4 linked regions of the Pelodiscus sinensis genome follow. The protein of the gene in region 3 interacts with the protein of the main gene of each other region in a pairwise test. Links are inferred from orthologs where the notes say so. Each region holds a gene or a part of one and is shown on either strand. Other genes may lie near its edges.

Evidence for each region.
Region 1: the proteins of GET3 (region 3) and ASPH interact in binary tests that used the Homo sapiens proteins (3 or more experiments, as listed by UniProt). The two-hybrid records come from large-scale screens. The link is inferred for Pelodiscus sinensis from reciprocal best matches to the Homo sapiens genes GET3 and ASPH.
Region 2: the proteins of GET3 (region 3) and GPX7 interact in binary tests that used the Homo sapiens proteins (3 or more experiments, as listed by UniProt). The two-hybrid records come from large-scale screens. The link is inferred for Pelodiscus sinensis from reciprocal best matches to the Homo sapiens genes GET3 and GPX7.
Region 4: the proteins of GET3 (region 3) and GET4 interact in binary tests that used the Homo sapiens proteins (3 or more experiments, as listed by UniProt). The link is inferred for Pelodiscus sinensis from reciprocal best matches to the Homo sapiens genes GET3 and GET4.

The regions. Positions count from the first base shown.
Region 1 is NC_134712.1:61,042,761-61,050,315, forward strand, and holds the start of ASPH (aspartyl/asparaginyl beta-hydroxylase), read left to right. Parts: upstream 1-4,536; 5' UTR 4,537-4,659; coding exon 4,660-4,726; intron 4,727-7,555.
Region 2 is NC_134719.1:9,550,802-9,557,728, reverse strand, and holds the start of GPX7 (glutathione peroxidase 7), read right to left. Parts: upstream 3,015-6,927; 5' UTR 2,979-3,014; coding exon 2,778-2,978; intron 1-2,777. UniProt on the Homo sapiens protein: It protects esophageal epithelia from hydrogen peroxide-induced oxidative stress. It suppresses acidic bile acid-induced reactive oxygen species (ROS) and protects against oxidative DNA damage and double-strand breaks.
Region 3 is NC_134729.1:13,304,684-13,312,509, forward strand, and holds the start of GET3 (ATPase GET3), read right to left. Parts: upstream 3,015-7,826; 5' UTR 2,865-3,014; coding exon 2,701-2,864; intron 1,869-2,700; coding exon 1,721-1,868; intron 1,167-1,720; coding exon 1,018-1,166; intron 1-1,017. Other genes in the region: telomerase RNA component interacting RNase, read left to right, coding at 3,481-3,726.
Region 4 is NC_134726.1:26,320,404-26,328,413, reverse strand, and holds the start of GET4 (Golgi to ER traffic protein 4 homolog), read right to left. Parts: upstream 3,012-8,010; 5' UTR 2,893-3,011; coding exon 2,738-2,892; intron 2,053-2,737; exon of another isoform or gene 2,038-2,052; coding exon of another isoform or gene 2,015-2,037; intron 1-2,014. UniProt on the Homo sapiens protein: As part of a cytosolic protein quality control complex, the BAG6/BAT3 complex, maintains misfolded and hydrophobic patches-containing proteins in a soluble state and participates in their proper delivery to the endoplasmic reticulum or alternatively can promote their sorting to the proteasome where they undergo degradation.

The sequences.
Region 1 (7,555 bases), on a different chromosome or scaffold from region 3:
GCATCTATGCTATTTAATATCTTTCTGGTGGCCATGCTCCAGGTTATTGAAGATGAGCTCCAAGGCAGAGTTGAAATAACCTAGAGAGTGGATGATAGCCTCTTCAATTTGGGCTATGTCAGAGCCAAGACCAAGACCACAACGTCAATGGTACAACTTCAGTATGTTGACAACACCAAGGGTGAGTGCCACCTCGGGAGATGGTCTCCAAGCAATCACTGACATTTTCATCCGAACCTACCACAGGGTGGGATTGACTCTCAAAGACCAAGGTTCTCTTTCAGCCAACACCCCTCAGACCCTTACCAGAACCAACCATCATGGCGGACGACCAAGTGCTGGAGAATGTCAGCAGCTTCCCCTATCTCAGAAGCTATGTGTCTAGCAATGCTGACATTGATGATGAAATCCGCCACTGAATCGCCAGTGCCAGGGTGACTTATGGACATTTATGGAGGCGAGTCTTTGATGACTGTGACATCAAGACGCAGACCAAGATCGTCATCTACAAAGCCATAATCATCCCAACTTTGTTATATGAAAACATCATATAGATGTCATATTAAAGATCAGGAGAAATTCAACCAACGGTACCTGAGAATATTGGCAGGACAGATGAACCAATGTTACTGTCCTCACAGAGGCTGATTCTTGCAGCATCAAGTCAATAATCACCCACAGGCAGCTATGATGGTCTGGTCATGTGGTCAAAATGCTTGACACACATTTGCCTAAAAAGATTTTCTACACTCAGCTGAGGATCAGGATGAGGTCTCATGGCAGGCAGAAGAATCTCTATAGAGACATCTTTAGGAACACCTTGGTAAATTATGACATTGATGCTGACACCTGAGAGAAGCAGGTGGAGGATCCGGTAACTTGGAGGACCACCATCAAGAATGGTGCCTGACACGCTGAGATCAGGCGTCATCTCCATGAAGATCGGAGAGCCCAACATAAGGAGCATGCTCCAGCCCACATTGGCGCTGCTGGTGTTGGCACCACTGGAGATAGAGACCTCTCGTGCAGCTGTAAACCACACACCTAGTGGGTGTGGTTTAACGTTCCATGTAATGGCACTTAGACCACTTACAGCAAGAGATAAAAACAAGTGAGCTCTACAAACTAAGCTGCAAGCCAGCTGGCTTTATATCTCAAGCTGTAGAGACTCCTATGCGGATATCTTAGGTTTGAATCTACCTGGTGGCATTTACACAGCCACTGTCAGAGAGTGTTTCTTGCCAGAATTGGTCTAATTTCTCATCTTTGCACTCACCGAGAAATCTTACCTGATTCAAAGGATTCCAGAGAGAGAGAGAGAGGCTCCCATAGTGCAGGTACTCCCATATTTCCAGCTAACACAGCTCTGCATTGTGAACAAAGGTGAAAGTAAGCCGGTGCACTAGTAAGAAAGTGGCTGGTTGGGGGTGCCTCAGCCCTGAGCCTCCCATCCTGCACACACTCATTCCAGCCACCTACTCTGACTTCTACCCCATACGCCTCCAGCCACCTGCCCTGAGCCCCTCACGCAAACATGTCTAGTGCCATGCCCTGACCCTCTCAGACACACATTTCCATCCCCATCCCCTGATTGTGGGGTATATACTCACTATGCATTGTTCACAATGCCAATGATGGTGCCTCCAATGTGGACATGATCTGTGGACAGAGGGAGCAAGTGTGAATCTGTCGATTTTTATTTTGTTGACTTCTGGGTGTTTACATAAGTTTTGTGGCAACAAAACTTGGTAGTGTAGACTACTACCCTAAGGTGCATAGGCACTCAGTCTCCTAGCCTGAGGGGAAATTTGAGAACCTCATTAAAAGACTCCCTCTGCCTGAGAAGGGGAGAGAATGGACAGAACAATGAAGAGAGCTCTCCCATCCTGGTCCCAGGCACAGAGCAACAGCAGCCCTGCCAGGGGAATTCACATTTCTCACAGCTCAGAGCCTAGGGGAAGGAGAAGCTACTGATCCGGCTCCTCCAGAAAAGCCCCATCAGCCAAAGCAACTTTTTGATCAGCTCACAGCTAAGGGTTTCAGGTTTCTTCAGTGACAGCAGGGAGCAGCAGTTCCTGAGTTTCCTACCACAGCTGAAAAATGGAGGAGTAGCTGAAGGGCTCCTGCTCCTTCAGCCCTGGAAAGAGACCACTTTTGCCAATACAGTAGTGGGAGACAGGCTGCAAAAGATCTCATGTGCTGGCTCCCTGCACAGCAGCTGTTCACTGACTACACACTATAGCTGATTGGCTGGACACAACTAATCCTGCTGCTCAGGGGAAAGACTGAGGGAGCCCAGCAGGCACATGAGTGGATTTGTGGCTGTCATAGCTGATTATCCCGGTGGATGCTGAGCAGCCATTTTTCTTCCTGTTAGCCCAGCTGACAGAATTGGCACCAATGTAATCAGAAAAATGTGATGTAAGGGCTAGCACTGAACTGAAATTCAGGAGTTCTATTCCAAGCTCGGTTACTGGCCTATCGTGACCTTAGGCAAATCAGACCTCTGTCAGTTTCCCTATTTGTAAAATGAGGATATTGATGCTTTGAGATTTACTGAAGAAAATTTCTGTATAATTTATTATATACTAACATTGTGCAACTGGATAGATATCCAACCTTTTCTTCTTTTAAATTAGAAATTACACATTATTTTCTATGCACATAATGTTGGATAACTGTCACAGTAATTATATTGCTTGTGCATAACTACACTTTTCTTGGGGTGCATGTCTCCCCAGGCACACTTGTATTATTTGTAAGGAAGTTCATGAAAGCCAGTAAGTCAATGTAAGCAAAACCCTACCTATGCATCTTTGCAACTGGAGCCAGCAAGCATATTTGCACCTCCTACCATAGACTCCATGGGTTCTATGGGGCTGGAGCACCCCTGGGGAAAAATTGGCCAGTGCTCAGTACCTGCTGGCAGCCTTGCTCCTGCCTTCTGTCTCTTCCTTTCATCTATAGTAACCCACCCAGTGGCTCTGCTGACCAACTCTTCCACCTCCTTCCTACCTGCCAGAACACAGCGGCTGCTGCAGTGGGACAGATGCTTAGGAAGGGTGCAATGGGGGCAGGACATAGTTGGAGAAGAGGTGCTATTTTAGAGGAAGGGATGAAGTGGGGGCAGGGCTGGAAAGGAATGGTTGATTACCCCCAAATTACAGGTGGAGCCAGTCCCTATGCTAGTTTCCCACCATTTTCCTTCCCCATATTCCTATTTACATTGCCAGTGGCTGAGCCCCCTGCTTGCCCCACCCAGGTTATAGCCTAGAACTACAAACAAGGCCCCTACGCAGGAATTTCTGTGGGGGTGGGAGTGCTTTTTTTTGTAAACGTGGAACACAAAGGTGTGAATGCACCACCACACTCCCCCAAGTAAGCAGAGAAATCAGCCCCAGCCTTCTCCAGACCTGCCAGAGCATGGGGAGGGAGGATCTAGCAGCACGCTGCTCCTACCTTGCTCCTGCCTTCCTCTAACTGGCTGGAGCATGCTTACTTGGTGGACCATGGGGGCTGCTTTTGCAATCTTTCAATCCCCCCTCCCGCCGTACTGGCCTGCAACACATACAATGATTCTGCCTCAGCCTATGCACATTGCCCTTGACTCCATGCCGCCTGTGGAGTTGAGGCTATTCAGTCAGGCTTGGGGGGCAGTTACATGGGCAAAAGCAAAATGTAAGGCTGCGTCTACACTGGCACGATCTTGTGCCAAAGCGGCTACTCTTGCGCAAAAACTTGCTGCCTATCTACACTGGCCATGTGTTCTTGCGCAAGTAAATCGACGTTCTCATGTATAAAATCAGGCCTTCTTGCGCAAGAACTATCATGCTCCCGCTAAGGAATAAGCTCTCTTGCGCAAGAGCTCTTCCAGAAGAGGCCAGTGTAGACAGGCAACATGAATTTCTGTGGTTAAAATGGCCATCAGAGCTTTCTTGTGCAAGAGAGCATCTACACTGGCATGGATGCTCTTACACAAACGCACATGCCAGTGTAGATGCTCTTTTCTGGAAGAGTTTTTGCACAAGAAGCTGCCAGTGTAGATGTAGCCCTGCAGGTCCTTTACCAAAGTTAGGTTGAGGTAAGGTGTCTTGCCTGGGTCGTGCCCTGCCGCGTACACCTCCCGTGGGTGCACAGCAGCATTAGCCAATTGCAATAGCTCCTGTGTCACCAACACAAGCGTCCTTACCCCAGCTAACTGAGCACCCCTGGGACTGGTTACTAGAGGTAGGGAAACTGAGGCACGGCGGCTCACTCAGCAACGCAGCTGAAGCCTGGCTACCCCACACTCGGCCAAGCCGCCCCGCCCACGGGCGCCCCTCGCTCAGGGGCAGCGCGCGCCGCTCCTGCTGGGTTGGAAGCTGAATCCTCGCGAGAGCGCTCCCATGTTGCCACGTTCCAAGCGCCCGGTTTCGGCACGGAGAAAGAAGCGCAACGCATCCCACCCAATCCTTTTGTCCGTACCAATAGAACGCACACGATGCCCCGCCCCCTTCCGGCGAGAGCGCTGCGATTGGTGGAGGTGGCTCTCAATCGGCTTCCGAAGGGGGTGGGTCCTTTGGCCTCAGCCCCGCCGCTCACGTAGGGTCGGTTGGGCGGGTAGCGGCTCCTCCCCTCGCGAGCGCGCGCAGTCCCCTCCGCTACCTGACAGACGGTGACATGGCTCCGCGCAAGAGCTCCAAAGGCACCGGTGGCGGCAGCAGCCCCAGTCAGGGGCCCAGGAGAGGTCAGTGCCGCCCGCCCGGCCGCGGCAGCCCCGCCCCGTGTCCCGCGCCGGGGCTGGGCTTGAGCAGCAGGCTGTGGGGGCAGAGCCGCGGGACGGGGCGGCTCCTGGGAGCGCAGGCGGGGTGCGCCGGGCAAGGGGATGCCGCTCCCCGAGTGCCCGGCGGCGGGGGCCCGTCGAGCCTGCAGCAGCCTCGGCCCCTGGTGCCCCGCGGGGAGTGGGCGGGGCGGGGATGTTGGGGCCCCGCGGGACTGTGGGCGCCGCTCGCTGCGTTTTCGAAGTTGCCGCTCTCTTGAGTGTCTGGCTCCGGTGGCCGGGCCTCGCTGCACGCTGGGCTCGTGCGGGAGTCCCGGGGGGCAGGAGGTGAAAGCGGCGGGTGGGTGCGGGAAAGCGCCGGCGGGGTTTGTGCGCGTGTATCTGCCTCCCTCTGACTGCCTGGTCACCTTCAGCCTCCTCCATGTGTTTACGTGTCAGCTCAGCGCTTGGAGGGAAGGGAGGTCGGAACAGATGGTTTAAATCTGTTACTCAGATTTCATTTATTCCCCTTTTTGCTCGAGTTTGAAGTGGAGGAGAAGCTTAGCGTGTAGCTGAGCAAACAGAGGAATTCCTCATTGCAGAGGATTAATCATGAGTAGAGCTGCATGTATTACTAGGTGTGCTTAGCCCAGTAATTTTAAACTTAGAAGTCTTAGACAATCAAGTCTAGGAGTGTCTTAAATTCCTGAATAAAAAGCAGGCTGCTTTTTGCAAAGAACTTTACAGTGAGCGTTGCAGTGAGTGAAAAAGTGCACTTTGGCATATTTTTAAAATAAGACTGCTTTTAGTGACTTGATACCACCATGTATAAAATACTGATGTCAAAATATTCTTTTGTTACCGTAACTGTCAAGTTTTTATCTCTAGTAATCTGAAGGCTTTTTAATTAGCTGTAAATTAGAAAGTGCAGATATAAAGGAAGATTTATTTTCAGAAAGTAAGACATGAGCAACTTGAAACTGGGTTAACAAAACTAACAATAGAATTAATAATTTTTTACAGTAAACTCACATAAAACAAAGTAAACTTCTGGGAGGAAAATACATGTCAGGTGAAAGTATATTAATGCCTTTCTGGTAGTTATATAACTGTACAGGTTGTAAAGAGCTGATCTCGTTAGCTTTACGGTGAGCACGCTTTGTGCCTATACATTGTTAGCTCTGTGGACTTCTAATTTTTCAGTTTTATTTATCACTACTAGCATAGATACAAGGTTGATCACGTGATCTCAGCCATGTGCATAGTACTAGTAGAACTTACAGTGCTCTATCAGAGGTTTATACATATGGCATTGTACTTATTGATCATTTTGATAATTGAGTACAGTGGTTTCAAATGACTCTAAAGAAACAATGTGGTTGAGGTAATATCTTTTATTGGGCCAACTTTTGTTGGTGAGACAAGTTTTACAGTTATACAGTGTTTAATTAGGTTAACAGCTGGTATGCCCCTTAAATTTCTCTTGAACAATTGATCTGGGAATTATGGGTGTTTATTATAATAATCATACAGCAACAGGAAAGAGCTTATTTCAGTTTTAAATTCTGTAAAATGCGTCTTTTGAAAAACAAGACATTAAAAATGCATCCTGTATAGAATCTGGGCTACTATAGAGAACTCCAATACACCTTCCAAATTTGTTTTAACATTTCAAGTTAAAAAAGCCTGAAACTCTTGATCATATTTACCTATGATGAGTAAGAACTTTTCCCAAATATTTATTAGGGATGTTAAAATGCATTTATTTAGGTAAATGTTTACCTGCTGAAAATTTCAGCAGATACACATTTACACATGGGGGGAGGGAGGGGAGTTGGGCAGCTCCCTAGGAGCTGGTGTGCGAAAGACAGCTCCCTGTGCATACTGGCTCCCACGGAGCCACATCTTCCCCACACGCTGCTGCCTCTGCATCTGATACAGTGTGGGGGGAGGAGGCTACATGTAACCGTTTACACATTCATATCCTTAATCATGTGTGCAGTTGACCTCTGTAAAATCTGTCCTTTTATTTTAAAAAAGACTTGGCCCGTATGCTTACATAGGATCCCCTTCAGTTGTGAATGGTGGAAACTAGTGTTTCCATATTTTATTTGGCCAAGGAACTCTTTTAAAATTTAAAGAATTTTGTAGAACCCCTAATAACAGTCTAATATAGGCTGCTAAAAAATAGACCACAAATTAGCATTTGTTTATTATTATACTTACTTAACAAGGTCATGAGATCAACCTTTAATTTAATTGCACATATTTAAAAACAAAAATCACATATTATTTTTTAAAATCATAAAACGTTATTGTAATGGAATTTTCTCGCGGAACCCTTATTTTCACTTCGTGGAACCCAGAAACACCATTTGGGAAACACTGGTGTAAACAGAAGTAAGGAAGGGGTGTCTGCATAAGGCTAGGTTCATAGTAGACCCAGAAGGTTGGCTTACGGTAAGTCAATGGGGAAGTTTCTTCCATAGACTCCATGGTAACTTGAATTAAAGTCTCCAGCAATGTTATTCATGTAGTTGGAGTTGTGTACTTTAGATCTACTTTCTGTAATATTGTAGGCATAGGCTAAGAGCTCTTCACTCCAGCTCCCAGAAAAGAGAGATGTGATGAAGTGGGGAAATAAGTTTTACATTTGCAACATGAGGGTGTCGAAGACGGAGTCCTCTGATTTGTGTGCATCACCTAAGAAAGATTCCAGGTATCCTTTTTTCTCAGAAACTAATGAGGAAAGACTTGTCTTCACACCTATGCATGGCCAGGGACGCTGGAGTCAATGAAGTCAGGAGGAACTGCAAT
Region 2 (6,927 bases), on a different chromosome or scaffold from region 3:
CTGCAGACAAGATACACTCCATTCAGAGCATTTACAGACTCTTGACAGACCCAGTGGAAGAAATTATGGGAACAAGCTTAAAAAAAAGCCAACTACCGTGTAATAACAATCTGATGGTATTCCATATATAAAATGTACATCTGGGATAGAAAATGTATTTACATCTTATCATATACATATATATTAAACTACATAGAAACATCAGTGTATTATATTTGTATAGCATCTAGCAAGTTGAGTGTGCTCCTGGAAACAAACAACTGTGTGTGCAGTGGATAAAATTCTCCTTTGGTGGCCAATGTGAGGCCTATGTAGCAGTTAAGCATAGTTTGAATCGGTGGGGTTGGTTGAGGGCTTTGGTCAGACTGGATCTGGGCCCTATTCAATCTTAATCCACCAAAGAGCTTCTCTTTTGAGCTTGGATATTTTAATTCTTTTCCCAACTTCAGCTCTTTTTCCTATTAGCAAAAGTACAAGGATCACACACAAATGGTACAATGACACTGAATGGAATATGCAAAAATGTTCTTAAGTGAACACAATCTTTGCTTAAAACAATCTACAGCTGATCCTGATGTGCGAGGCTTTATCTCTGCAACAACAGTCTATTAAAAATCAAAACTGGAAATAACTGCAAGGATAATTAACCATTGGTTCAGTTTAATAAATAATGCACCATGCTCTTTGATAGTTAGGAGTCTTTAAATCAAGAGTTTCTATCATTAAAAAGATATGCTTTCATTCAACCAATTCTTACACTAAAGCAATAATCACTAGGTTGAATTGACAATTTGTATTATGCATGAGAGACTAGATTATCATAAAAACAAGGAGTCCAGTGGCACTTTTAAAGACTGTTTCAGAGAAGTAGCTGTGTTAGTCTGTTTCAGAATAAAAGGAGTCTGGTGACATTTCAAAGACTAACAAATGTATTAGGGTATTAGAGCATAAGCTTTTGTGAGCTACTACTCATTTCCTCACACGCTGAGAAAAAGAAAGAAAAATAGGGGGGAAAAAAAGATACAAACAACAGAGATAGGACGGTGATTCCACTCCATCGGGCGGCTCTTGCGTTACAATAGGTAATTTCTCATTCAGGTACTCTCAGCTTCTCACTACTGTTGGAGATGAGCCACATCCATTCTAATTTAATTAGCACCTATGTCAGTCATCTCTATTATATCCTTTTTTGTCTTTTTCTCTTCAGCATCTGAGGAAGTGAGTTGTAGCTCACAAAAGCTTATACTCTTATACCCTTACCAATTTTTTAGACTTTAAAGTGCCACCGGACTCCTTATTTAAAAAAAAATCTAATAAATTTATTAGGTTATTAGAGTATAAGCTTTCGTGAGCTACAACTCATTTCCGCAGATGCTGAAGAGAAAAAAAATAGATGAAGAAAAAAAGAGAGAAATATATAGGATATAGACACGGGAGCGTGACAACAGTTTTTCCATACAGATAATCGTAAGAGGCCCTTCCATTCATAAAAAATGTATTTAAAAAGTACTATGAAAATAGGACTGTACATTTCCACTAGATGGCTCACTACTGGATTATTTTTAAAAGTTTTACTTAACTCTGAATTTCCTGATCTTTTAATTTGTTTATTTTTTAAAATAATTACAGTGTTCTTTAATTTTTTTTCACCCTTAAGTTACTAATACTTACTCTCAACCTTTACTCCAGTTTAACATGTTTTGTCTGGAAATGTCCTTGTTTTCTTATTTTATTAATATTTTCATACATGAACACTAAACAAGAAACCCAAAGAAAACACTATTGTGACATATTTAATGTGTTAAACACGTGGAACATCAATCTTGGGTCTTCCCTGACAATTTTAACTTTTAGGGCCAAATTTGCAGGTACAGTCCAGCTGCCTTGTGCTGGACTGGAGAATACTGATAAGCCAAGTTTAGAATGTTTTTTTCTCTACCATTGTAGCATGAAGAACCAGTCCTGATTTGCTTTGCAGTTTCTAAATGCAAATGCTGACTATGTTGGATGCAAAGTTATGATATAATTTTTGAATACTCATAATTATGAAATTTCGTTATCACTATATCCTTATCACACTTCAAGAACTTGATTAAATGAGTACATCTTTTGGGAAGAATGTTTCATTTAAGACTCCCTGAGTAATATGTAAGTAAAATTTAAATTCATTTAAAAACAGATCTGCTGCTATTAATGTCTATGCTTTAAAGAAGATTATGATATTAATCTACAATGACTTATTTTCTCAGATTTGTTTATTGGTAATCATGGTGCATTCCTTGACATATTGATTACATACCATTCCCTTTTCTCCATTTTACCTCAAACAGGATTCAGCAAAAAATAAGTCTTTCAAAAGAGTAAATATCTTGCAATACAGACCTTTGCTTTAGAATACCACATGCTTCCTATCCTGGACAAATGCTTTCATGGTTAATAGACATTAGAATCCAATATATACGAACGAACGGCAAGCAGCCCCCCTGTGCCACGTATACACAGAGCAGCCTGCCCAAGAAACAGATTCACACACACACACAAGGGTTAGACTGCAAACGTTTTATTAAAAGAATGGAGAAACCCATAACGATATCAAAGTAAACATGCAAGCACTATTCCGCAGGACTTAAACAAAATGCACAAATGAGAGTCTATCCATGCATGCATGCAAGTTAATGAATAAGCTGCTTGCCCACTCCCGTATGTAAGCATTCAAATATGGGCTGGTTAGTTACACTCAGCAATGAGAGCAGCTGCTAATCTTTCGGCAAACTTACCGAGCCTCTGTATTTCTCCAGAGAGACTAGCTTGCCCCTGATGTTTACCACTTTAAATGTATAAAAATCAGTCTCTTTCTGCTGGGAGGTGGCGAATGCTAAGAAAAGCAGCGTTGCTAAGGCAAGGAACATGGCTAGAGGGATGAGAAAAACTTTGGAGGAGGAAGCCTTGTGCTCCACACTGCCCTCAGGATCTAGCATGCTGCAAGACAGCCTGGTGCTGCACACACCCCTTTCACAAATCACACAGCACTGCCGGAAAGAAAGAGCTGTTGCAAAAGAGGTTGCAACACTCGCGCTTTCAAATGGGTTAGCGCCGCTGTGTCACACGATGCCCGTGCTCAGTAGCCAATTTCCAGGAATGTTAAGGGATAAAAACACTTCATGAACAAGCGGGTGGTGTAATAATAATGGCCAGTGGTAGGTGCATACGTCTGTGCTGGTTCTTTCAACTCAAGCTGGGCGACATATTTCCCAAAGGGAAAACAGGACCCCACAAGGGGCTAGCCTAAGCCCTACCCGCCCGCCCCCAATGTTCTGCTCCCACATCCGCTTGCCCAAGACTGCCCCCTGCACAGGGCAAGCCAGAGATGCTCACTTGAGCTCCCTTTCTCCTCATGGAGCTAGAGGCTGAGCCTGTTTGCCCCCCACTCCCTAGAGTTGGAATTGGTGTCAGTATCACTGCTTGCCTGAATCGTTCCTCCCCCCCCCCCCCCCCCGCGTAAGGCTGGTGTCACCACTGCCCCTCTCCATGTTCCTCTGCACCCCACTTTTTTGACAGACTTGGGCATCTGTCCCACTTGTTCTTGACAATTGATCAAGTTGGCAAGAGCAAAGGGACAAATGCTTTCTTTGGCCAGAAAAGTCAGAACAGCCAGGGCATGGCTAAACAAAGGGACTGTCTCTGATCAAATTAAGCAACGAGGAGTCCTGTGGCACCTTATAGACTAACTGAAGTGTAGGAGCATAAGCTTATGCTCCTACACTTCAGTTAGTCTATAAGGTGCCACAGGACTCCTCGTCGCTTTTGCAGATTCAGACTAACACGGCTACCCCTCTGATACTCTGATCAAATTGGGACATAGTCACACTAAGCATTAGTAGCAGTATGACTCCTCTTCACTGTTTGGTGGAGATGCACATCAATAGTCCTACTTTTCACTGGTTTCAAGGAAGTTAAGCCATCACATTATTTTGATTTTTTTTTGCCCAGTATGGGCCTTACAAATGTGCATTTTAATGCTACTGTGTATCAAGTAACATATTATGCCAAAGGATACCAATAGCTTGCCTAATATTTATCACTTATGCTAGTGGCTTGCCCATTAAGGAACACTAATAAATATGCAGTCAGGATAAAATTCCCCATAGAGTTAATGATACTATGCAGGACCAACACCCTGAAATAAAGATATAATGTAGGTTAAAACATCCTTCATCAGGCATCTTTGAGTTCTGTGTTTCAGAGAATAGGGTTGCCAGGTGATTGGTTTCTGGCATGTTCACCAGGCCAGTAAAAGTCCTTTTACACTGGGTGCCTGGGGCTAAGGAAGGCTTCCTACCTGCCCTGGCTCCAGGTAGCCCCTAGACTCAGCAAGGCTCTACATGCTGCTTCTGCCCCAAGTGCTGGCTCTGCAGCTCCCAATGGCTGGGAACTGTGACCAATGGGAGCTGCGGGTGAGAGGGCAGCACAGAGACTCTGCGTGTAAGGTAGGGGTGGGAAACCTAAGGCCCAGGGGCTGGATGCAGCCCTGGCTTGACTGGATCCAGCCCCTAAGGCTTGGGGCTCCCTGGCAGCCCCCTCCCACACATTGAACCCCTCATTTTTAGCCTCACCCAAATGCCTTGGGGGGTCATAAAATCTACTGGCCTGGGCGAGGCGAATGTGGGGAGTGTCTTTCTCGTTCTCAGTCGGGGGCTACGTTAGTGAGGGTTTTTTTTGTGCCTCTGCCAAATGATTTTTTTGTGGCTCAGGGCCCCCCCAATCCAAAAAAAGATTCCCACCCCTGGCCTATTGGCTGCAGGACTTAGCAGCCACTTATTGGGAGTCGTGAGTAAGCACTGCCAGGACCCCGATACCCCTCCTGTACGCCAACCCCCCTGCCCCAGCCCAGAGTTCTCTCCTAGAACCAAACTCCCTTCCAGAGCCCACACCAGCACCTGGAGCCCCCTCCTGCACTCCAAACCTCTCATTCTCAGCCCCACCCCTGAGACCACACCCCTAGCTGGAGTCCTCATTCCCACTGCACCCCAATCTTCTGCTCCAGCCTGGAGCTCTCTCCCCTGAACCCTATCTAGTGCCCACATCCCCAACTGGGGCCCTCACCTACCTGCACCCCCTCTCCCAGCCCAGAACCGCTTGCTGTATCCCAAACCCCTCATCTCTGGTCATAGGCAGAGTCCTCCCTCCCTCCCACAGCCCATTCTCTCCCCAACCTGGTGAAAATGAGTGAGGGTCGGGGGGAGAGCAAGCAATGGAGGGAGGGGGAGATTAAATGAGTGGAGGACAGGGTGTTTGGTTCTGTGCAAGTAGAAAGTTGGCAGACCTAGCAGACCAGCTGCACCAAGGAGGGATTAATGGTCAAGCCACTTGTTCAGTCTCTAGGGCCTTGAGACTAGCAGGGTTTTCCAGATAAAAATGGGAGGAGCCTGGGGCTGGAAATACTACGGGTTAAGCAGTGACTTTGGCAGGAGAGCCTTGAAAGGGACAGAGCTAGACACCTACTTTATAGCCTCCTTACACGAGATTTCTGTTAAAAGAAGTTGTCTGTGCACCATTTGTTCCCATCCTTGTTTGAAGGAACTGGACCAAAGTTCCCTCTAATCTATCTATATGCAGAATATTTTTTTTACACGCACCAAGACATGTGTGAATGTCCACCATCAGTAGAAACAAAAACACATAGCTGTGGCCACTCTGCTAATCAACTGGAAAGCATTTGAATCTCTCCTGAGCAGTAACAAAAGTGCACAGTTTACAGGGACCACTGAACTGGACTTAGGAACATTTTGTAAATTAATTTCACCAAGTACACTGCCAATGTTGTGTAAAGCAGCCTTAATGTAAATGAAAATATATTCCCTAGAATCTATATATTACTGCAAAGATGTTTGTTAATACCTTTCCTGATTTCTTTTTTTTTTCTTCTTTTAAAGTTTTAGGGCTAATGTTAAAAAAAAGTGAGGTGGTTCACAAGAGGAAAGCTCTGTTTTGACAGCTGTCAAGAGGCCCACCAAAGTAGGGTTCCCCTACTGGAAATAGGATTGCCAATTTACTAATCGCACAAAATGAACACTCTTGCCCCAACGCCCTACCCTTTCTGAAGCCCCCCTCCACTCACACCATTCTATCAGCCTGTCACTCACTGCCCCCACCCTCACTCATTTTCATCAGGCTGGGACGGGGGGGGGGGGGGGGGTGTGAGGGCTCCAGTTGCGAGGGCAGGCTCTGGGGTGGGGCCTCAAGGCTAGAGCAGGGCATTGGGATGCAGGCTCTGGAGTGGGCCAAGGATGAGGGGACTCTGCGTGTGTGTGTGTGTGGGGAAGGGGGGGGGGGCGCGAAGCTGCAGCCAAGGCATTCAGTGTGTGGGAGGCAGCTCCAGGCTGAGTCAGAGGTTGCTGTGTGAGAGGGGGAATGGGCTCTGGGTGAGGGGGCCAGAAATTAGGGGTTCAGGGTATGAAAAGAGGCTCTGGGCTGGGGATAGGGGTTAAGGTGTGGGGCAGGAAGCGGGCTCTGCAAGGGAGTTTGGGTGCAGGAGAAGCCTCAGGAGGGAGTGAGGGCTCTGGGGAGGGAGTGCGGGGTAGAGCCTCCAGAAAAGAGTTTGGATGTGAGAGGGGGCTCAGAGCTGGGGCAGAGTAGTAAGAAGGGGTGAGAAGTTCCTACCTCGGTGGGCTCCCTGGAAGCTACAACTTGTCCCTTGATTCCTAGGCAGAGGCGTGATGAGGCAGCTCTGTGTGCTGCCTCTGCCAACAAGTTCCACCACTGGAGCTTCAATTGACTGTAACTGGTGTCCAATGGAAGTTGCAGAGTCAGCGCTTTGGGTGGGAGCATTGTGTGGATCCCCTCAGCTGCCTCTGTACCTCAGAGCCAGAGGAACATGTTGCTGCTTCTGGGGAGTTGTGTGGAGTCAGGTAGGGAGCCTGCCAGCCC
Region 3 (7,826 bases):
GGCAAACAGAAGAGACAGACAAGGGAAATGCTCTTAGTCCCCTGGATAGCTGGACCACCATGGCCCTACCAAACACAGTCACTAGCCAAGTCCCAGCCGACACCTCAGGCAGAGCTGGGAACTAAATATATAAAGTCTGAGTTTATGCCCCGGCTGTTAGGTCATCCCTCTGACCCTGCCAACAGCTACACGGGCAGTGGACAGCTGAACCCAGATCTCACAGGCCCGAGTGCAATGCCAGGGGGAGGAGGAGGGACATACCCACCCTGCAGATCTAAAGTGCTTATTAGTATAACGGCATATCCCAGCCCCGGGCTGATGGTCTCCTTCCCCAAGTGACAGGTGTGCAGCTACACGCGTAACGCCATGGTGCCCAAACTGTGGCCTGGGACCCCAAAGCACGTCACCACCCTGTTTTAAGGGGGTCACCAGGGCTGGCTTAGACTTGCTGGGGCCTGATGCCCAAGCCCCAATGCCCGAGGCCTGAAGCACGTGGGCCATGGCTTTGTGCCCCCTATCCAGGGCAGTGGGTTCAGGCTTTGCCCCCCCACCCCTCGGGGTCGTTTAGTAATTTGTGTTGTCAGCAGGGGGTTGTGGTGCAAAGAAGTTTGGGAACCACTGGCTTAATGCACTACAGGAAGGTCCTCGAACCAGAGACAAGTGCAATATGCGAGCCTGTATAGCAAACAGCCTTTTCACCTACAGATGGTTTCATTCCCACCTGCCATGTTGCCATGGTACATTCTAACGATCCTCTGCTATAGGTGGTTTCATCCCTTCCCTTGATAGCACATCCCTCCCCCCCATAACGGCCATAAAGCCCAGCTCCTGGTCCCCTACAAGTGGTCTGCTCTTCTCCTCCCGCTGCCACACTACTGGTAAATCCAAACCTCTCCTCCCCCTATGATAGGGGGCCTGTCCTGGTCACCCTTTCATCAGGGCTACCCCCACGTCAGCTACGCTTCCCAATGGCCGCAGGCATGTAGCATGGGCCTGGAAGCAGGCTGCCTAGCTCACCTCATCACTTCCGCATAGCTCATGGCCTCATCAATGCCGGGAAAAGCGCTCATGGCCTCCTGCATCATCTTCTTGCCCATGCTCAGCATGTTGTCCTCCTCAAAGAACTCATCCGGGAGCTCCGCCACTCCCAGGCTGGGGTCGATCTCCTGGGCAAGGAAGAAGGGGGCAAGGATTTAGGGAAGAATGGCCATCATTATCCCAAGGATGGGCGACTCATTCACTCAGCACCAGCTCTCGTCTTGAACACTGAGAAGAGATGGACACATTTCTGAATGCCTAATGTGTTAGAACAGGGACTGGGAACCAGGGCTTCTGGATTCTATTCTCTGCTCTAAAAGAGGAGTGGTATCTAGTGGTTAGAGCAGGGAGGACTAGGAGCCAGGACTCCTGGGTTTTATTCCCTGCTTTGGGAGTGGGATCTAGTGGTTAGATTGGAGGGGGGATGGGATGAGGAGTCAGGATGCCAAAGGTCTAACTCTTAGCTCTGGAAGAGAAGTGGGGACTAAGGGCTGAACCAAAGGAGAATGAGCCAGGACTTTTCCTCTTTCTTTCCAGTTCCAAGAAGAAGCTCAATCTAGAAGTTAACACAGGCAACTGGGAAGCAGGGCTCCAAATGCTTAGGGACTCGGTGCCAGCCCTGCATACAGCCAAACAAGCAGAGCCATTTGAAACCCATCTTCTCTCCCCAGCCCAAGCTCACCATGGCAAACAGGTTGTCATAGCCCTTGACTTTAGTTGGGACCTTGGAGAATTTCTGGTCGAAGGCGTCGGAGATGTTGTGGGCTGGATCGGTGGAGATGATGAGGACGCTCTCACGCACCTTTGACAGCTGCACGGCCAGGCTGCAGCTGCATGGGGGGCAATTCAGGTGACACGAGAAGGGAACTAGCGGCGGGAAATCCACGGGGTTTGGGATCGCTGGAGAGGTGAGGCATAGGACAGGAGGCGCTTTCACCTCTCCCCTAGAGGCAGCATCACACTCCCTGTGCCCCTCAAGCTGCAATGGTAGATCCCAGCTCCCCTACCAGTCATAGGCTCATCTATAGTCCTTCCAGCATAATGGTACAGACCAAACACCCCACCCGCTCTTTGGTACATTTGGTATGTCCCAGTCTTCACAATTTGTCCCCCCCGCCCCCAATCTGGTACAATCTCATACAGGTGGCCTCGCCCCACCAATGCTTATAGCAGGTCCAATTTGGTACAGCCCAGCCCCTCTTCCTCTCACCCCTTGCTCCCTAGACTAGCAGCAAGTCCCGCACCCCTCTCCTCCAAATGGTGCATCCCAACCCTTCTCTCCTCCAAGTGGTATCATCCACCTTATATACTAACATGGTACATTCTCGTGGCCCTTCGCCTACAGGCAACCCCAACCTCTACGATGGTACATCCAACACCCCTAGTGGTGTAGGAATGGTGCGCCCCAACCCTCACCCCTCTCTCAAAAAAGCAATGGTACAGCCCAGCCACTCCCCCATCCCCGCACATAGTGGTACAACCTCAAGCCCTCCGGGGGCCTCGCCACGCCCCCAACGGCTCCTCTCCCCTACGCATAACGGTACATCCCAAGTTCCACCCTCTCCAGGTGAGCTCGGCACCCCCTCTCCACAGGAATGGTACATCCCAACCACCCCTTCTTCCCCCTTCGTGGCACTGCCACGCACGCTCACCCCCCCTCACCTGCAGGTGGTCTTGCCCACGCCTCCCTTCCCCCCCACGAAGATCCACTTGAGGCTCCGCTGCTCGATGATGTTGCTCAGCGTTGGCTCTAGCGGTTCCACATCGGGGGCGTCCTCGAACTCGTCCGCCTCCGGCCCCCAACCGGACCCCGCCGCCGCCGCCATCTTGGAACCGGCTCACGTGACCCGGCCCGGGACCAGACCATTCGCAGAGGGAGGACGCACAGAAGGAGCACGCGCCGACAGAAAACAGAGCTGGGCCGCTGTATCCTAGTCGTCACTGCCGCTGTCCTGTCCCCCAGTCCACAACAATGGTATAGCCCGACCACGCCCCCTCATATGACTGGGGTCTTCAACAACCCCGCCCACTCTGAGCTAGTCCTGATAAGTCCCGCCCCTGCGTCTGTTCTGATTGGTCCTTACGACATCCGCCTGACGTGATTGGGCTACATAGAAGGGCGCTCTTTGGTTGGTGGGACGCCGGGGCGTAGAGCGCCTCACGTCCACCCAAAGGGACCTGATTGGAGTCGAGGCTCAGGCTCTGGCCGCCGATTGGTCCGTCGGCCTGCCCGTCCCTCAGAGCGCGATCGGGGCCAGCGTGCCTCGCGCGGGGAAACGCTCTTCCTCTCCCAGCGTGCCTTGCGCCGGCGGCTGCCCGGAGTTCCTGCGGCTCAGCGCTCGCCCTCCCGACACCCCCTGGGGCTGCTCCCGTCGTGCCCCGCGGCCGGCGCTGGCTTTTCCCGACACCCCCCGGGGCGCGGCGGCGCTCTCCGCGGACAAGATGGCGGCCCGAGGGGGACGGGCGGCGGCTCCGCAGGGCCCGGGCGGCGTCAACGTCTTCGCCAACGACGGCAGCTTCCTGGAGCTCTTCAAGCGCAAGATGGAGGCGGAGCAGCGGGGGCGGGAGCAGGAGGCGGGGGCCGCGGGGCCCGGGGAGGAGCCTGCGGCCGGGGCGGCCCCGGGCGCCCCCGGGACTGAGCAGCGGCCGCCGGAGGGGAAGAAGAGGAGCGGGACCGCGCTCAGCTTCGTAAGGACCCGGGGCCCCCTCCCCCGTCCCCGCGCCGCGCTCGGACCGAGCTCCTCCTCCCGCCCCGCCCCCTCGAAGGATCAGTGGGGGCCGCTCGTACTGCAGCTCCCCCAGGGGTCTCGGCGCCCCCGCCTCCCCCGGGAGTGGGACCTCAGCCCCCCCCATCTGCACGTGACTGTCCCGATCCCCTTTCTCTCCCGCCCGCTGTTCTATCTCCACCCCGCTCCTCATTCCCCTTTGCACCTCGCACCCAGACTCCTTTCTCCTCCTCCCTGCCCTCTCCTCATCACACCTGTGCACTTCAAACCCCTATCCCGGGGCACCTGCCCTAGCACTGGAGATTCCCCTCTTTTCTTTCTCTCGCCCATCTCTTCCCCTGGATATTTATCTGCTCCATATGCCGCCTATTCTGCTCACCTCCCCATCCTTATTTTCTGAGACTGCAGCCTTCCTTTCCTTCTCCCTTTGGGGGCCTGCCCTGTACTTTTTGTGGGGTGCTATTCCCTCACTCACTCTCTCAATTCCCTGTTGCTTTAGAACCATCTGCAACTGAAGAAACCTATATTTTCCATCCTTGTTCCCTTTCCATAACCTTCCCCTCACTGGGTGGCCTAAAATTCTACCCCCACCAGGAGGCAAGTCCCCTTTCTGAAGGCAGCTTCTCCCTCCTACGTGAAGAAGTCTTTCCTCCTTTTCCTCTCCCTGTCATTGGCATTTCTTCTTTCCTCCAGTGCCTGGTGGTAGGTTACCCCACCTGATTTGTCTCTAGAATGTCGTGAGAAGCTGCGGATGCTGTTCAGAGGTTCTCCTTTTCCACCCCCCACTTGTGCAGCTTCATGAATTCGTTTCAACCAATTGGCCAGGCTCATGAGCCAGGACCAACAGGGAAAATGTCAATTGCTGGAGTTCTCAAACAGTTTCTTGAATGGCTAATCCTGGTGTGTGCTCTGTGTGCCAGTTCAGGAATGAAGTCCTTGCTAGAGCTTGTACTTCATCAAGTCTGCCCCCTTATCCGATGGCTTTGTAACGATTAAGGATGGTTAAGAGCGCTGTTGTGCTAAGTAACTGATTCTGAGCACTCTTTAGAGATAAGTATTATCTATGATTTTGAGCTAAGGAAACAGAAGAGATGCTGCAAGCTGAATAAAATGCTCTTGGGCGAGTAGCAGAGTTGGATTAGGCATGACCCCCCCCTCAATACAGTGTTTCAGCCCATGCTCTGACCAATAGATCACCCCCTTTAGACATTCAGGGCAAAACCTCATTCTTGGATAGTTGCCCCTTGTAATAATTGGTCCTCACTGCCTTGAAAGCTAATTGAGCTTGAAGCAGTTAGAGCTTTGTGTACAGCAGTCACTGCTGTGGAATTTCATGTGGCAGGTTTGTCAGGGTGGGGCTGGGAACTAAGGATGCAAAATCCTGGTTTATCAGTTACTGGTTAAATGTTCAGTTAACTGACTAAAGTGGGATCTGGGCTAGTGACATCTCCAGCCTGGCTGGAGCAGCTCCCAAATCTGTGCTGGTGCTGCCAATTTCCAGCCCCCACGCGAGGGCTGGGGCTGCTGTCTGCTCGCAGCCTCCGCTGGAGCAGCCTCCATCAGTTATTGGTTAATCAGATCCAGCAAGCACCTCCTGTTTATAGGGTGATGCTTGCCAGTTAGCCTTTCACATCCCTACTGGGAGCCAGGAGCTCCTGAGTTCTAATCTCAGCTCTGCTGCCAAACCTGTGGCATTGGGCAAGTCCCTTACCCTTGCTTCACAGATTTTGAGAGAGAATGAAGTGGTAATGGGCCCCCAAATGCTATGACAGTGGTCCCCAACCATTTGACGTTGCCGGGAGCCAGGGGGCGTGGCCGTTCGCCTGCTGGGTACCAGAGGGCAGGGACACCTGTGCACCAGGGGGCGGGGCTACGCATATGCTGCACCCCCATGAGCCACGTGCCTGGGGCCTGTGCACCCCCATAGCCGTGCACCAGGGGACTGGTGCTCCCCATGCACCGCGCACCTGGAGCATGGACGGCCGCTTCGCCATGTGCCCAGGGACGGCGCCCCTCCCCCCCATAGCTGCACACCAGGGGGCCGCGCTTCCCATGGGCCGCACGCCTGGAGCACGGGCGGCCACTTCGCCGCGTTCCCAGGGCCAGTGCGCGCCCCCCCCCCCATAGCCACGCATCTGGGGCTGGTGTCCCCCTCCCTCCCATAGCTGCACGCCCGGAGCGTGGGTGGCCACTTCACCGCGCGCCCGGGGCTGGCGCCCCCACCTGCCTGTATCTGTGCACCCGGGGCCGGCGCTCACCATGCGCCCGAGGCTGGCTCTGGCACAGCGCATGCGCCACGTGTCTGGGGCCAAGCCAGCCCCGAGCACTTGTCGGGTGCACACAAATGCCCCCGCGGGCGCCATGGCGCCCGCGGGCACCGTGTTGGGGACCACTGTGCTATGAGCTATCGCTGACCTGTGTGGTAGTTACAGAATAAAGACTCTGGACGAGTCTCAGAAGAAACTCATTCCAGCAATGGCATTTTCACTTCCTGGCGCGTGGGTGGAATTATCTCAGAGAAGTCGCGCTGATTTTTTTTTAATCCCCTGGATCTTTTACAACTAAACACTTGACTCTGAAGAGTAGCCAATTAAGGGGGACTTATCTGCATCCCAGTTTGCACTGAATAGTGTGGGTCCATAACCGTTATTAGTGATGTGCTCCTGTTGTGCTTGGGAACTTGTTAGCTGGAACTTCTGTAGATTGCAAAGATGCTAAAACAAATCCCCTGTCCCTCTGTTGCAATATCTAGGTCACTTATCAAACCATGATGAGGCTAAATACACCGTAGGCCTTGGCCCCACAAGAGTTTGAAGTATGCTACCTTCTATAGCAAAGGTCAGAAACTGTTGTCAGGAGTGGATATGAGAGATGAAATAATGCTAAAGAATAACCATTGTCTTCCTCAGTTGTCTCTGTTGCTGGGTGTGCAAGTGATGATAGGTGTGGATGAAAACTGCAGCGGTGTTTGCAGATGTTTTCAGTTGCAGAGCCTCAACTGCACTGAGCTGCGTTTGGAATTGGCCTCCAGAGTCATTAATGGTCCCCTTTTTCCCTGCCAGCGCTGTTCACCCACAGTGTCCTTTGCCCAGTAGAATATCTGCATCAAAATACCGTGACTAATCAGTAGTATTGCTGGCCATCTTGGTGCCTGCTTAATGCATAGCCTAGCCCTCATTTCACCACGATCTTAATTTTATCCTGGAATGAGACTGTTCATATGCAAAAAGTTATTCATGTGCCGGGGTAGCTTGCTGAATCGGGCTTTAACCGAGGCCAAACTGCCTGCTCTGTGGCGTGCGGGGCAGGCTTTGGTATGGTAGTTTTCTGTTCCTTGTGTGTTGAGTGCTAGTGAGAGCTGTTGAACTGCCCTTTAGGAAACAGCCATGGGATGAATTTTGTACATTTCCTGGTACTAAACGCTATTTTGGGATGTTACGGGCAGGCCTGTGGGTGTCAGAACACAGCACAGTAGGTCTCAGAAAACTAGACCTGGCTGATAGAGGCACAAATCTCATCTTCCTTATATGGAGCTACCTAGTGCAAGAGTGGTCTGCAGATTGACTAGCTGTATGGACAGAGAAGTAAAATCCCCTTTTCCCTCAGCTTGCTGTAGCTCAGGATTGACAGGGATTTTAGCGAATGAAAACCCAAGTGGGAAGGCTGTGGAGGAGAGTTTTTCTGCCCTTTATTTTTCTGAGTATTAGTCGGGTGTGAAGCCCCAAGTGCGCACACTATAGAGCCCTGCCTCCAGGCTGTCGCGTATGTTGGGCTGTCACTCAAGGCTTGCAGTGTTATTGCAGCCTGGCTGGAACAGGAGCTAGGATCTCCTTTTTGGGGTAGGAGGAAGCAGGGATTTCATAGGATGCTGCCTTGGTTGAATGTCCTGTGAACTGTTGGATTCCGACTTCTGCAAGCGAGAAGAAGAGCAGGGTTTCCCCAAGTCTGACTGGCTGGAATGACTTTCGGAGAGAATGATTCTTATGCAAACTGTTGGTCTTCCTCCTTAGCTAATCACTGAATGCGTGTAATCTCTGTGTACATCATCGCATAAAATACCAC
Region 4 (8,010 bases), on a different chromosome or scaffold from region 3:
TTGTGGGACTAGTTGACTATCTGATAAGCTTTTGCTTATTGGATAGTGACTAGTCACTTACGTCTCAGTAGGGATGTATCTAGACTCCTTCACAAACTAATATTAAATGCAAAAAAGAGTTTAAAAATAAAGTTTTACACAGTAGATGACAATTCAATATTATAACTGCCATGTACTTAAAGTAGTAATATAGTACAAGTACTGCACCATAAAGCAGACCTGTTATGTTACTCATTAGTAGGCAATTGGAACGTAAAACCCTGTTTAATAGGTTAACTGTTTAATGAGAATGGGCAGGAGGGGCTGCTCCAGCCTGACCAAAGGATCAGGAGCTGCTCCAGCACCCACCAGTTAACTGGAACTAATAAGCACCACCCATTAGGGTCATGCTCACAATTAACTTTTTGCATCCCAATAGACACAAAATGTGGAGGTGTCCACTTTAACCAAAAAATTCCTAAGTTCACTAAACATGGTGAGATATCAATATATTTTAAAGAGTCCTCAAATCAAGTTCTGCTTGATAATCCATCAATGTCACAAGAATCCAGACACCCACAAACTAGAATTACATCTGATTAGAGATTAAAAGCAGATCTGTATAGAGAGACTCTCTCACTACAGATGCATTTTAAGGCACATTTTAAATTCTTACTCTTCAAATGGAAGATTTGAGTGTACTTTAATGAAACATTTGATCAAAGTTTTTTTTTGTTTCTTAAATTCAAGTTGTAATTTTATGACAGCCCTAAAAAGCAGATTTGACTAAATCTGCACACTGTACATATCAATAATATGATTGAAAAGGAGAACATTTTGGAGCAAAGGACACAAAAAAAGTTTACAGCTACTAAGAATATCTGTAACTACCAGATGCTAACTTCTTTATCTAGCATGAGGTTTATTGAAGAACTACTAATTCAATCACAATAATAATAAACACTCTGTCCTACTATTCTTCTATCTGGGGATGTCAAAGTCCTTTACAAATGTCAATTAAGTCCTTCAGCAGCTTGTTTTAATATAGTTAACCTTGAAATAACTTTTTTCCTGTCTTTCTCTTCTGCATCTGAGGAAATGAGTTATAGCTTACAAAAGCATATGCTCCAATATCCTAATAAATTGGTTAGTCTTTAAGGTGTCACCAGATTTTGTTGTTTTTACTGAAACAAACTAATTCAACTACCTCTCTGAAATCTGACAAGAAACTACTCCTCATGGACTCACATTCTTTAATCCTTCTGAAAATATAACCTCATCCTTTTAACTTTAAGTATCCCTGAAAGGAATGGAAGAAACTGACAAGGTGGAAGAGGGATAATGTAACATCCATTTATGATTTTCTTAATAGAAAAGTGGCGAGGAGTCCTGTGGCACCTTATAGACTAACTGAAGTGTAGGAGCATAAGCTTTCGTGGGCAAAGACTCACTTCATCAGGTGCATCTGACGAAGTGGGTCTTTGCCCAGGAAAGCTTATGCTCCTACACTTCAGTTAGTCTATAAGGTGCCACAGGACTCCTCGCCGCTTTTGCAGATTCAGACTAACACGGCTACCCCTCTGCTGCTTAATAGAAAAGGTGCAACATCACCTCTCTTTCTATTGGTTAAAGAAAGAGTGGAGACCCCCTTCCGATAGGACTGGCCTTAGGATGCCAAGTTGCTGGAGCAAATTGGCATACGAAGGTGCAGTGGGGAACAGGGTAGAAAAAATAAGCAAGGAATCTTCTCCAATCCTGCTTGCTCCAAGGCAAGCCTATATGCAACGCTAAACAGCCAGAAAAGAATGAGAAAATGAGGCATCTGCTTTTGGGCCCAATTTCTGTTGAGACTGCATGGGGCTCTCTAGAAGTGCAAGATGACAGTCTAACACAGCAGTAGAATACAAACATGGGAGAAATTGAGGGCCCCATGGGAGTAGGGGGCCCTTCCACAAGGCATCCAGCCCCCATGATGCCACATCTGACTGGTGGTGAAGAGCTAGGCAAGAAGGGATGTACGGAGTTAACTGATCACCTGCTAAGCAGCCTTCCTAGCATGTTTACCAGGGTAACCCCTTAACCGGCTGCTCCAGCTCGGCCGGGGCCACCATGCTGCAGGCGGGGGTCCACTGCAGCCTGGCCGGGGTGGGTGGGGGGGGGGGGGGGGAACAGCCCCTGGCCTGTTAACCTTTAAACCGTGATCTTACGTCCGCTGCCTCCCCTCCCAGGCCACTCGCTCTGGGGTGGAGCGCGACCCCGATCGTCAGCTCCCAGCCCCCAGCCTCCGCGGGTGGCCGCGGCCCCGTGTGGGTGACAAAACGGGGGGCCAGTCTCCAGACCTGCTGGCCAGGGAGTCCCAAGGCAACAGACGCCGGCCTCCCCCTATTAACATCTGTCTTTGGGGAGGCCCCCCCCTCACTAACCCCCCCCCCCGCCAAGAGCCCCCGGCCCCGCCCCCTTCGCTCTGCCTCTGCAGCTCCCCTCGGCGCTCTCGAAGGGGGGGGGAAGGCCGGACACCTGGGGGGGGGGCGCGTAGAGAGAATTCTACCCCCTTCCCCTGCAAGCCGCCTCCCCCCCTACGCACTTCACGCTGCCCTGCACGGCGAGCGCCTCCCCGTTCTCGTCCAATCAGCGGGCGAACGCATGAGACGGACAAGCCGCGCGGCCAATCGCACGGGCCGGGCGCGCAGGCAGCAGGCTAGTGTGCGCGCTCGGAAGGCTCTGGAAGGGGCCAGAGGGAAGGGTGGCCGGGCTGTACCTGAAGAAGAGAGTCCGGTACATCTGGTGCGCCTCGTAGTATTCGCCCTTCTCCACGCTGGCGCGGAGCTTCCCTTCCACCCGCTGCACCCCACCCCGGTTCCGCCCGCCGCCGCCCTTGGCGGCCTCCTGCTCCGCCATCATCGCCGCCGCCATGGATGCGGGGAGGGCGGGCGGAGAGACACGGGCCAGGCCCCGCCGCTGCCTGCTACACACAGGCCCTTCTGCCCGGGCCGGCTTCCGTCAGCCCCGCCCACCGAGCGAGACGGCAGCCTGGGCGGGCCAGTGCCCGCAGCGCAGCTTCGCGGTGGCGTCACGCAGCGCTGGGCGGGGCCAAGAGATGATGGGGGGGGGGGGGGGTAGATGGCTCTGGTGGGACTTGTTCAGCTGCGTTTGCTCCCCTCTGACTGGAACGTGGCCTCTTCCTATTCACTGTAGCACGAGGCGGGGCGTGCAGCCTGGCTGCGCTGGAGGGGCTGAGCAGAGGTGAATTGTGAGCTCACCTGCAGCCACCTCCCATCTTAACAAAGCCAAGCGGTGCCCCCTGTGAGCGCAGGACCAGGGCACAGAGTGACCCTACTTTCCAAACCAAAAATCAGGACACGTGATCTGACACAGGATTTTTTTTTCTGATTTGTGAGCAGGCTGGGGGCACAGGGTGTGGGGTGGAGAGTGAGCAGGCTGGGGGCCCAGGGTGTGGGGTGGAGAGTGAGCAGGCTGGGGGCACAGGATGTGGGGTGGAGAGTGAGCAGGCTGGGGGCACAGGATGTGGGGTGGAGAGTGAGCAGGCTGGGGGCCCAGGGTGTGGGAGGAGAGTGAGCAGGCTGGGGGCCCAGGGTGTGGGGTGGAGAGTGAGCAGGCTGGGGGCCCAGGGTGTGGGAGGAGAGTGAGCAGGCTGGGGGCCCAGGGTGTGGGGTGGAGAGTGAGCAGGCTGGGGGCCCAGGGTGTGGGAGGAGAGTGAGCAGGCTGGGGGCACAGGGTGTGGGGTGGAGAGTGAGCAGGCTGGGGGCCCAGGGTGTGGGAGGAGAGTGAGCAGGCTGGGGGCCCAGGGTGTGGGAGGAGAGTGAGCAGGCTGGGGGCCCAGGGTGTGGGAGGAGAGTGAGCAGGCTGGGGGCCCAGGGTGTGGGGTGGAGAGTGAGCAGGCTGGGGGCCCAGGGTGTGGGGTGGAGAGTGAGCAGGCTGGGGGCCCAGGGTGTGGGAGGAGAGTGAGCAGGCTGGGGGCCCAGGGTGTGGGGTGGAGAGTGAGCAGGCTGGGGGCCCAGGGTGTGGGGTGGAGAGTGAGCAGGCTGGGGGCCCAGGGTGTGGGGTGGAGAGTGAGCAGGCTGGGGGCCCAGGGTGTGGGAGGAGAGTGAGCAGGCTGGGGGCACAGGGTGTGGGTGGAGAGTGAGCAGGCTGGGGGCACAGGGTGTGGGGTGGAGAGTGAGCAGGCTGGGGGCCCAGGGTGTGGGAGGAGAGTGAGCAGGCTGGGGGCACAGGGTGTGGGTGGAGAGTGAGCAGGCTGGGGGCACAGGGTGTGGGGTGGAGAGTGAGCAGGCTGGGGGCCCAGGGTGTGGGAGGAGAGTGAGCAGGCTGGGGGCCCAGGGTGTGGGTGGAGAGTGAGCAGGCTGGGGGCCCAGGGTGTGGGAGGAGAGTGAGCAGGCTGGGGGCACAGGGTGTGGGAGGAGAGTGAGCAGGCTGGGGGCACAGGGTGTGGGAGGAGAGTGAGCAGGCTGGGGGCACAGGGTGTGGGGTGGAGAGTGAGCAGGCTGGGGGCACAGGGTGTGGGAGGAGAGTGAGCAGGCTGGGGGCACAGGGTGTGGGTGGAGAGTGAGCAGGCTGGGGGCCCAGGGTGTGGGTGGAGAGTGAGCAGGCTGGGGGCACAGGGTGTGGGAGGAGAGTGAGCAGGCTGGGGGCACAGGGTGTGGGGTGGAGAGTGAGCAGGCTGGGGGCACAGGGTGTGGGAGGAGAGTGAGCAGGCTGGGGGCACAGGGTGTGGGGTGGAGAGTGAGCAGGCTGGGGGCACAGGGTGTGGGGTGGAGAGTGAGCAGGCTGGGGGCACAGGGTGTGGGTGGAGAGTGAGCAGGCTGGGGGCACAGGGTGTGGGTGGAGAGTGAGCAGGCTGGGGGCCCAGGGTGTGGGTGGAGAGTGAGCAGGCTGGGGGCCCAGGGTGTGGGAGGAGAGTGAGCAGGCTGGGGGCCCAGGGTGTGGGAGGAGAGTGAGCAGGCTGGGGGCCCAGGGTGTGGGAGGAGAGTGAGCAGGCTGGGGGCCCAGGGTGTGGGAGGAGAGTGAGCAGGCTGGGGGCCCAGGGTGTGGGTGGAGAGTGAGCAGGCTGGGGGCACAGGGTGTGGGTGGAGAGTGAGCAGGCTGGGGGCCCAGGGTGTGGGTGGAGAGTGAGCAGCCTGGGGGCCCAGGGTCTGCACAGGCTAGGGGAGTGGGGTCTCCAGGAAAGCGACCAGCAAGCGGGCTGGGGTTGCGGGGTCTGGGCACGAGGGGCTACTAACACCATGCCCCATCTCCCGCTGCTGTTATGGGCCAGATTCCGGAGCAGTGGGATGCGTTCCTGTTCCCCTGGGAAGGGGAGGGAAAGTGGCAGCACATGGAGCCGCTACTAGCTGTGCTTCTTCCCCACAAGCCGGATCCAGTGGGGAGTCTCGAGGCTCTCTCCCCAGCCCTTCCAAAATATTTGCCAAAATATTTGAAATTCTGGGACATTTCGATGGTTTATGGGGAGAATGGGACAGAATGTTTGAAATCAAGAAATACGGTCGGCATAATAATAGAGAATCAGTGTGCATATGGTTTTGTCAATACAATTGTATAGTCATGACACACTGATGTTAAAAAATACGATGACAAAATTACATACTATGAGTCACCTTTTTGAAACAACTACATCAAAGCCAGCTAATGATGGCAACATGGTCCATATAAATGGCAAAATTCACATGTTCTAGGATATTGGTGACCAACATGACATAACTGAATTCTTAGGCCACAGCAAAAATGTGTCTATCTAAAACTTCCATCCCCAGTTGCTCAGCTTTCACTCTTTAGTGAGGTAAATTTTACTAGCCTGCAGTCACGTGAGACTTCCAGGGTAGAGGATATCTGAATTTCTAGTTCTCTCTCCAGTTCCTTGTTCGTATTCTTCCATTTTTTAAATTAATAAAACATTTACTTTGTACATCATTGGGAGCAAAACCCAATTTCTTTTTGCAAGTTAATGTTAAATATTTCTGAAAAAAACAATGCTTGGCACTTACATAAGATTTCCAAAGAAACAATCTAGTGTCAAGAGCAGATTCTGGAGTCTAATGAACAAGCATAAATGGAGGAAAAACTAGCAGAATAATGCAATGCACTAGGAACATCCCATCTAGGTTTCTGACTACAGCTTTGGAAAATTCACCAAACTCCTCTGCCGCCACATCCCAGCCTTTATACTGAGCCCACTTTTTGTACAATGTTGTGCAAATACGTAAATTCCCACACGATCAATAAAGCTCAACTGTGTATCTGTCAACTGAGTCTTGTTCCAGACAGGGAAAACAAGAGGGATGACATAGCAAATACTTTCCTGATACCATATTATACATGGCGTGATGCACATGACCTGTGTTGTAAACTTTACAACTTTTGATCTGAATAGCCTAACATAGACTTGAGAATGATTTCTCTGAAAGGTTTCAACAAATTTTATTCCACTAGAGGGCAGATGTTTACACATACAAATTTTGTGCAAGAAACAAAATGAAACCTTGAGGAATTTTGTTCAAATGCAGCCTAGTGGAGTTGCAACCAAATACCATTTTCTTAATTTTGCTAATTATATTAAGTGACAGAAAGGGCAAGTTTAAATGTATAATTTTGTCTGACAATCTGCAGCTTTTTTACTCAACATCACTGTGTGTTTAGCTGTGTCTTGTTTAGAGTGTTGCAATAGCATGGTACTTAAGTAAACAAAACTAATGGCTGGTTGAATTTTTTGGGGTAAAGGTACATAACCTTGCCTGCTTGTTGACACAGACAGCTTGAGGTTTTAGGTGAGCACTAAGTGAAACATTTGACACTTCACAAATAAAAACAAACTTCTGTGCACAAATGTTATTTGCAATAGTGTGTTGCTACAGACTCATGAGTTTACTTTGATCCCCTTCAGTCCGCAACAGAAGGTAATCTGGATATTTCCCCTGTAGTTGCAAAATACTTAAGTGCATTTGTCAGTAGAACTTGCAGTGATGTCAGACAATACAGAGATGCTTCTTTACTCTCAAGGGGTATGTCTACACTACCCAGGGGCTGTGTCTACACTGGCATCCTTTTCCGGAAAAGGGATGCTAATGAGACACTTCGGAATTGCAAATCCGCGGGGGATTTAAATATCCCCCGCGGCATTTGCATTTACATGGCTGCCGCTTTTTTCCGGCTCGGGGTTTTTGCTGGAGAAAAGCGCCAGTCTAGACGCGATTTTCCAGAAAATAAGCCCTTTTGGAAAAGCATCCTGCCAATGTAGATGCGCTTTTTCCGGAAATACTTATAACGGAAAACTGTTCTCTTTTAAGCATTTCCGGAAAAGGGTGCCAGTGTAGACGTTGCCTCAAGGTTCATTACACCAGGAGTCTTCACTCAGACATAGGAACAAAACCCATTTAACTTTGTAATTAGGGCATGTCTGCACTGGGAAATTATTTTGAAATAACTCTTGAAATAAGTATTTCAAAATAGCATGTCCCCCCCTACAGGGGAGCATCAAAATTACTAAGTATTATTTTGAAATAGTGCATCCACACTGATTGGAGCCTGCCTCAGACTTAAAGCCCCCAGGGGGGAGCACTCTGGGGAAGGCACCAGGAGGGTGGGCTGCATGGTTAGGAAAGGTACAGTGAGTGCTTTCAGGGGCTCCACTCTATGGCCACATCTCACACTCCATTTCTCCACTGACCACTTAAGGGACCTTACGCTATGTGCTCTAGTTCCCCTTGTGGATGCCACAGCACTTTCATGGAGCTAGAGCTGCTGCAAAGCAGAGCCGGGCTCTGGGGCCTCATGTTGTGCCTTGTGGCACAGTTCATGCAAATTGCCCACGTGGTGCTGCAGGGACATGACGACCAGCCTGGACTGGGAGACTTGTTGACCCAAGCCCTGGCGCTCCTCATGCAGCAAATTCCCCTCCATCCTCCCCTGCACACTGTAGACCGCCACTTCTGGCAGAGGGAGACCAGCCCCAACTGGTGGGACCGCACTGTCATGAGGTGTTGGGATGACCATCAGTGGCTCCAGAACTTCCGCATGAGG